2 linked regions of the Cricetulus griseus genome follow. The protein of the gene in region 1 purifies or fractionates together with the protein of each later gene. This does not show direct contact. Links are inferred from orthologs where the notes say so. Each region holds a gene or a part of one and is shown in the gene's direction. Other genes may lie near its edges.

Evidence for each region. The genes of interacting proteins can lie anywhere in the genome.
Region 2: the proteins of Mtnr1a (region 1) and Gnai3 purify together in Homo sapiens (tandem affinity purification; 3 studies listed by BioGRID and IntAct, with this or other methods). This does not show direct contact. The link is inferred for Cricetulus griseus from reciprocal best matches to the Homo sapiens genes MTNR1A and GNAI3.

The regions. Positions count from the first base shown.
Region 1 is NW_023276807.1:41,376,256-41,380,666, reverse strand, and holds the start of Mtnr1a (melatonin receptor type 1A), read left to right. Parts: upstream 1-1,359; 5' UTR 1,360-1,423; coding exon 1,424-1,616; intron 1,617-4,411.
Region 2 is NW_023276806.1:49,019,851-49,024,197, forward strand, and holds part of Gnai3 (guanine nucleotide-binding protein G(i) subunit alpha), read left to right. Parts: intron 1-376; coding exon 377-505; intron 506-3,599; coding exon 3,600-3,729; intron 3,730-4,107; coding exon 4,108-4,261; intron 4,262-4,347. UniProt on the Homo sapiens protein: Heterotrimeric guanine nucleotide-binding proteins (G proteins) function as transducers downstream of G protein-coupled receptors (GPCRs) in numerous signaling cascades.

The DNA.
Region 1 (4,411 bases):
ATTTGTCTAGGTTTTCCCTAAATATATCTTTGCTTTCAGCATGTATTCCTGTTCTTGTTAATTTAAATGGTAGCCTTCTTAAACCTGTGTTTTATTTTTTGTTTAGGTAGCATGTCACACATTCCAAGATTGTCCTCAATAGCCCAGGATAACATTGAACTTCTGACCCTCTGCCTTCACTCCTGGTTGCTGGGTTTATATGACTGAGATGCTATATCCTGTTTATACAGTCCCGAGAATTGACCCTAGGATTTCACAAACACTCTATCAGCAGAGCTATGTGTTCAGGCCCCTCTATCCAGCATTTCATTTCTTCTTGAAATTGTTGATGAATGCAACAGCTTTACTTAATATAATTTATTGAGACAGGACTTTGTACTACAGCTCTGGCTGATTGTGCAACTCCATCCTCCAGCCTCAGCCTCCAGCGCTGTAACAAAAACCACTATGCCTCATTGTTTAGTTTTTAATGTCTATTTTAAATATTGCAAGGTCACATTTTTCTGGTATTCATCTTATTCAAATTTCCTTTCTTCCATTTTTTTTCCTTCAAAGGACTCTAGAGATGTTTGGGAATTGGGCTCCTATAAAACATAGTAAGAACATGGGAATTTTAAGTGTTCAATATGAGGGCATCATATGTCTCCTAGTTTGTGCAAGCCTCCTTTCCTGTGTCGCAGGACGTCTTGGGGTTTTGTTTCTTTCTGTACAGAGCTGACTAATCCATTCCCCAGCAATCTTGCATTGTGGTTCTACATCAGCTTTCTCTTCTCGTGTTCCTGTTTTCACTGATATTTACATTTTTTTTCGTTTAATTACCCGAAAAACCCAGCACAAAATACTGTATGGTTTGTTGTCAAAGCGAAAAGGTGTCCTTTTTTTTTTTTTTTAATCATTTTTATTTTAGTTTTACACATCAGTAACTGTAAAGTTGATGAGTTAAGAGTCTATTTCATCCTCACTCTGCCGATAAGGAATCTAGGGAATCTGGTGTCTCAGTTACCTACTCCTGTCCCGGTTAGGGTTCAAGTCCATGCCTTGTGGCATGCCGGGTGGGTCCAGATCCCAGGAGAAAAGCTTCATTTCCTCTCTGCTTGCCGGCTCCACCCGTCTTGCCGAGTCTACCCGCACGAGGGCGCAATGTGCACGTGCTGCGGGACTTTGGAGTCCAAGATGCCCGGCAGTGGACAGCAGGTGTCAGCAGGCGTCAGCGGCCAAATGCAGAGAGGGTGTCCGGCCACGGGGAGGGACTGGAGGGGGCAGGACCGCCGCGAAGCAGCCTTAAGGATGCAAAGTAGGCGCGGGAGGGCTGTGCCAAGCCATAAAAAGTGGCGGAGAGGGCGGGAGCAGAGCCAGGCACTCGGGGGCGCGGAGCGACAGGACGATGGCTTTGGCTGCGCTGCGGTGAGACACCCAGGGGACCATGAAGGGCAATGGCAGCGGTCTACTCAATGCCTCACAGCAGGCACCAGGCAGCGGGGAGGGTGGGCAGCAGCGGCCGTCGTGGCTGGCCTCTACGCTGGCCTTCATCCTCATCTTCACCATCGTGGTGGACATCCTGGGCAACCTGCTGGTCATCCTGTCTGTGTACCGCAACAAGAAGCTCAGGAACGCAGGTAGGGACTCCCAGCACCTCTTCCAACGCTAGCCCCCTTGTGGGACCCCGAGAAAAGTTCAGGAAGTTGGGCTCTGAGACATGGAACTTTGGGTTATTCTTTCCTCTTAGAGAATGTGGGTTACCTTCTCTTTACCCCTTTCCTCTAAGATGTCTTGTCAGAGATCTTCCGTAAGTCTTCAGTCCTTCGAGATGGAAAGCCCTTAAATGATTTCTGTTCCCTTCAGGAGTATTCCCTTCACGCTAGCTTTCCGATTCTCGGGTTCGTTAGATAGGGTACCAGTTGAGTAAATTCCTCAAGACACCTTTTCAAATTAGATCAAGGAACTCATCAGTTGTTTGGATTTGCATATAAATCAGTTTTCCCAACTTTGCTAAAATATGAGGAGATACATGAGCTGCCAAAATGACAGAGCAGCTGTTTCTGTTTTCTTGTCAGGTGTGGTTTTTTCAGCTAATAGCATCACACTGCAGGGCGGAGGGGGTGGCCCTAAGAATGCTGGAAGAGGGGCAAAATGACTTTCACTCCTCAAGCCAACAAGTCTGAAATTAAAAATGGACATTGTAGCGAGGAATGCATTCACATATAATGTAGGATGAAGCTTAATTCAGTATTTGAGTTACATTTGGGGTTCCCCCAAGCAATGAGTTGAACCAGTTTTCCTGGGTAAGAGCAGGTCTGTAGGTTCTTCATGAGCTACTACTTTTCATCTTTAAATGGTGTCGGGTGACTTGGTTTTCTGTCCCTTGTTTGGAAGTAAACTTTGGAAGAATGGTAGAGAGGAAGCCATTCATTTAAATACTTGCCAAAAGTAGTATTTTTGTCCTAAAGTGGGTAGCTTGTGAAGATGCAAATTCAGGTAGAATATCTCTCCTCCCCCTTTGCCCTAGCTTCCAAAATGCTTCAGGCTGTGCAAAGTATAGGAGTTAGTTTGAAGTCATCTAATACTATGACTTCCATTTGGCTTAGGAAATGGGATGACTTCCTTTCACAAGCGATTGGCTTAAAGTAGAATTCTGTCTTCAGAATTCAATAGCTCAGTGGTAGCATTTGCCCAGCACTGGGAAAGTCCTAGGTCTGATTTTTCAGCACTGCAATAAAGGGATAGCCGGGGGAGCACACACCCTCCTGTAAGTAGGGGGTCACTTTCTGCAGGCTGCATGTGGCTCTCAGCACCCCCACACAGAGAATTCTTTGGTCAGCACAAGGGTGGGGTGTCAGACTTACCCACTTTACAGAGAGGGGCACATGAAGCTCAGAGGTTCTGGGGTGGGAGGGGTTGATTCTTCGAGCTTCTGCCTGGAGCCCATCCACGCTGCTTCACTCATGTCTGTAACTTACATTCGGGAAGTCTGAATGGTACAAGACCTTTCCTGTAAAGAGTGTTCACGTTCCTAGTGGCTTCAGAAAAGTACTCACAACTGCCCTACCGCTCTGGGCTTCATTGGCTAAGCAACTTCTTGAGCGGAGAGTCTATATACTGCATTCCCAAAGCTATAAGGAAGATCCAGGTGACCTTTAGTCCACAAAGCATCATATTTTTATAATTGGGCTATTTGCTAAAATACACCACTGTCGAGTTCAAACCATTTGAGGCTTAGAAAAAAAAATAGTGATTTGGATCAGAGCTAAAGATAGCTGGTTCAATTATGTTACTAGATGCTTATTAAAAGTTTTATTGATGCTAGGTGTCACTGTGCACACCTTTAATCCCAGTACAAGAAGGAAGAGACAAGTGGGTCTCTATGAGTTTGAGGCCAGCCTGGTCTATACAGTGAGTTCCAGGCAAACTAAAATTACATATGAGACCCTGTCTCAAAATAAATGTTTTAATGACTGCTCAATTTGTGTATTTGTTCAATTTTTTTGGTTGGTTTTAAAAATGGGAAGATGATAAATAGGCTGGAAGATGTCTTGGCAGTTAACAGCACTGGCTGCTCTTGCAGAAGACCCAGATTAGGTTCCCAGAACCCACGTGTCAGCTCTCGTTCATCTGCACCTCCAATTCCAGGGGATCCTACACACTCTCCTCACCTGCGTGGACACAAGGCATGTATGTGCTACACATACGCACATGGAGACAAACACCCATACAGAGAAAATAAAAATATATAAATCTTTTCTAAACAGGAAAGATAAAAAAAAGAGTTAAGAATGCTAAAGCCCACAAACGTTCAAATAGTTCTTTCCTTTGGAAATTCGGTATAATTGCAGAATTATTTTTAACCTCTTCCTTTTCTCAAGAGACTAGGATGGCCTTTGGTGTCTGGAGGAAGAAATCCCCAATATTTAATTACCTGAGGGGCTGATCAATCACAACCTGCACCGCCTCCAAGCAACCAATCAGATGCTAAAGGTTGACTGATTATCTGCTCTTTTCCTGTCCAAGTTTTTTTTTTTTCTTTTCTTTCGAGAAATGATACATCCCCAGTCCAGTGGGTGTAACACGGTGGAGAGATTCCTGCAGTTATGATCTCACTGCATACATTCCAAATTTCCACTTTTGACAGAATGCCTAAACTTCAGCCCCACACTATGCTCTGTTGTAACTGTTGCAAGTATCAAGCTAACAGATGTCTATGAAAATACTTTGAAAAAACGTGGAGAAAGTAAAGCTAGACAGACATTTGGACTTGATTGTTTTGTTTTGCTAGGGGCAGCATTGCAGGCTCTGAATTGGTGCATTTTTCTATATGTACATTATACTTAATAAAACTTTTCATAAAACAATACAACAGCATCCTGCTTGTTCATAATTCAGGATATAACGACGGCTGAAACTTAACAAAATAGTA
Region 2 (4,347 bases), on another chromosome or scaffold:
CTGTATTAAGTACATAACTCATTTTATGTTAGATTTCAGGAAGTTTTCTTTAGCAGGAATAAAATTGCCTTGTTTTTAAAATTTGCCTTCACAGTATATTTAAAACCATTTTTGTTACTATGTATAGATGCTATTAATTTCCCTATGCTAGATTTACTTGCCCCCCCCCCCTTGTAATACTGAAGATTTAATATTTTTCTGCCTCTGAGGTGAATTTGAGGGTCTACTTTTTTTGTGGTTTGTTAGTACTTGGGATTGAATCTTGGGTCTTACACATGCTAGTAGCCAGCTAGTCTCAAGCAGAGAGTTTAGTCTGTTGACTTGTTGTGTTCATGGTTGGCTTTGCCAAGTAAAAACCAATGTATATTTCATCTAGTTACCTAAATGATTTGGATAGAATATCCCAGACCAACTACATTCCAACTCAACAAGATGTTCTTCGGACAAGAGTGAAAACTACAGGCATTGTGGAGACACACTTCACCTTCAAGGAGCTATACTTCAAGTAAGTTAACAAGCCTTTTTTGTAAGCAGTGTTCCTTGGTTTAGAAATTTAATATATTTATTGGCCATTAACTTAATGTCACATCTGATTGAAGCCTACACAGTTTTTTTTTTTTCCTCCAGGTAGCATCAGTATTTAAATCCATTTAGAGGAAATTGAATATAAAATTAAATAGCAATTTACCTATCATTAGCATTAATCATATAATTGCCAATTTGTGTTAGTTCACATTTATTTTCGAGACTTTTCTTAGTTGTCAAATAGGTATTGACTGTTGTTAGGATTGCAACAGTACTAAATAGGTAGAAAATATCTTTCATAGATGGCTTTACTCTGACATTGTGATACCAAAGTAGAAATATTTTCTTAGCAGCACCACTCCTCTCGCTGGTTCCCTTTCCCATTAAGTTTAATGGGGTGGAGCTAAACTTGGCTTGGCTTTTGTATTGATAGCATTGTGCTCAATTAAGTTTGTAGTGCAGTGCAGATTAGGCCTGGGGATAGAGGTATTTTGCATTGGTATGATGACAGAAACAGCAATTGTTTTAGAGGACATTCTGGTGTTTTAAAAGAGTTTCTCATAGCACCAGTAATTCTTAGAAAAGGCCTCCACTTCTCTTTTTGTTAATGGTCTTTTAAAAATACTAAAACTGTTTTTAGTTCCTTTTTCTGTTTGTGACCTTTGAGGTTGGAAATAACCTTTTCTCCTTCAAGGCATGATAAGTTTTCAAGAAGTTGCTTGCTTATGATTATGTGTGACATGTGAAAGTCAGCATTATTTCATACAAAGGAAACTACTACTACCTCTGATCCTCAAATGAAGAAGTCCACACAGGACTTAAACACTAGTACCAGTTGAGGTATTGGAATCTTGGGGCAGGCGAGTTAAGACAGGGTTTCTCTGTGTAGCCTTGGCTGTCCTGTATCTCACTCTGTAGTCCATGCTGGCTTTGAACTCATAGACCCACCAGCTTCTGCCTCCCAAGTGCTGGGATTAAAGATTAAAGGTGTGCACCACTACCATCCAACAAAGTATTGAAATCTTTTTGTTTGTTTGTTTGTTTGTTTGCTTGCCTGAGACAGGGTTTCTCTATGTAGCCTTGGCTGTACTGTAACTTACTCACTCTGTAGACCAGGTTGGTCTTAAACTTAGGAGATCTGCCTGCCTCTGCCTTTTGAGTGCTGGCATTAAAGGTGTGTGCCACCAATGCCCAGTAAGGTATTGGAATCTTAGCACACTAAAATGGATTTGGAACCTGGTGAATGGTTTTAGGGTAAACTGGCTGCTTATCGTAAGTACTGGTGATTTAATTAACAAAATCAGCAGGAACTATATGGATTACCTGTGAAGTCATAGGAACGAGATGCTTCTTTGTGTATTATAAAATTAATAATTCAGTTCCAATTTTAAATACCAAGACCAATATTCAGTGTGGGAAACATTTCTGGTTGATGTCATAGATTGATCTTTAGCAAGGTAGCTTTCTTTCTATGCAAGGATCAGTAGCCAAGTCCGATTAAAGTGCCACGTCCACTTTATTATTGGCATGTAGATATCTGATTATGAAGTACTATCACCTCTCCTTTTCCTCTTCTCTCTAGGCAAAACCACTATCCATTTATTCAAACATTTATTGAGCATCTACCATATGCAAGGCATTGTATAATTGCTTACTTGCCTCTCAGTTATGAGGTAATGTTTATAAAATGTTGATCTGTTAGTGAATAATACTGTGTTATTATGTACTAAAAGCTAGCATTGGGAATTTACAGTATTCTGCTAGTTTTATGGACTTACAGAATATGGGATGTAAAGTGGAATTATTGGTGTACTAATATGCCCCTCTTTGAAAGTTTTTTATAGTGAAACATTAGCCTTTCTAAAACCTTCAATACGACTCTGGATTAAGGCCAATTTGTGATTAAATCATTTAGCTGTCATGTAAGACCAAAGGTTGCAAAGAACTGCAAGATCCTCCAAGGAAGAGTTGGGTCAGGAAGAGATAGGATGAATGTTCATGTCAAACATAATTAGAGAAATCATGTGAATCTTACTTCTCTTAATCTGTAGTGGTGAAAATCCCTGGAAATTTAGGCTCTGAGTTACTGAAGATTTCACCAGTGCAGCAGACACTAGCCTTTAAAAACTTTACCATTGCTATCAGATACAGATCTTGAGTGTGCAAGCATTTGAATGCTGATTCCATCAGACTCAGGTATTGACTAAAAGATGTAGGGCAACTGTTCCCGTCATTGTAGGAGGTAAAAATGGACACTGTTGACACAAACTTAGCACTTAGAAGTCTAAAACAAATCTGGAATAGAACACAGTGTGTGAACAATTGAGGCTTTGCTGTTGCTGATTAGGTTCAAGCAAGGTAAGGTGTTGGGGAATACTGGTTAAGTTTATTTTTGTGATAGTCTTGCTGTGTAGACAGGCTGGCCTTGAACTTGCCATTCTTCCTCAGCCTCCAAAATGCTGAGATTATAGTCATTGCCCCCAAACTTGGCACAGATTTTAAGAAAAATTATTGATCAAATTGTTAGAATCCTAGTATAAAATTTAATTTCTTCCATAATTTTCCTTATATGTTTTTCATTAACACAAGGCAAATAAACTTGGGAGTCAGAATGCAAGATGGGTGTGCAGAAACAAGCCAGTTTGAGAGGCAGCATAGTGGGGCTGAGGAAAGTCTATAGAAACTGGAGTTAGAGTGCCAGATGGTCTAGGGTAGTGCCTGGCACCATGGTAAACATCCAACAAATACTAGTTGTTATGGCTGCAGTTATCTTAAGCTGTACTGTTCAGCTCTTCATTTATCCTTTCTTTTCCTTCCTTCCTTGAATCCATTTTTAGTTCTTAACTCCGCTGACATTTGGCACATCCAGTACATGTTTTGAGAGGGAGGGAGGCTCAGCTGTGGGCTCTACTTTTAGCCACTGACAATTATTTAGACATGTTTGATTTGATCCTTGTCTTTCCTGTTATAAATGGGGTTTGAATGTGTGATAATGGGGAGGTTCTTAGCCATGACATACTAGAGAGAAATATGAGTGTGACTTTGCTGAATCTGTGTTTTCTTTCTTTACTCAGAATGTTTGATGTAGGTGGCCAAAGATCAGAACGAAAAAAATGGATTCACTGTTTTGAGGGAGTGACAGCAATTATCTTTTGTGTGGCCCTCAGTGACTATGACCTTGTTCTGGCCGAGGATGAGGAAATGGTATGTTGAAGCTTTGGAATCATCCGATACAGCTAGGAAACGAACATAACCCAGGAAAATGTGTTGCTGCCATTTGCTTACAGAAATCCAAACTTAATGCCTTTTATTTTCTTGTCAGTGAGGTTAGATTTCCAAAATCAATTGTTCCATTCCCCGTTTGCTCTTGGTAGCCACATTATGTGGGCAGGATGGCATCGTGTCAGCCACCCCTTGCCATCCCCTAACCCCAAGAATTACACAAACCAGGATTGATTCAGCTTCAAGTTGTACTAGTGCCTAACTTCTATAATTCATTTTGCTGTCCTAAGGCCTTTTGGTATGTAAATGAATCTGCTTTCATTTTGATGCTAACCTGTTGTAACCCTGTTTGTTTTTCAGAACCGGATGCATGAAAGCATGAAATTGTTTGACAGCATTTGTAACAACAAATGGTTTACAGACACGTCAATCATCCTCTTTCTTAATAAGAAAGACCTTTTTGAGGAAAAGATAAAGAGGAGCCCATTAACAATCTGTTACCCAGAATACACAGGTAAAGGTCGTGGTCTCTGTGTGGCTGTGTCTTGGGACAGCACTGATGGCTCACACATTCACTGACAGTAGCCTCAGCACTAAGTG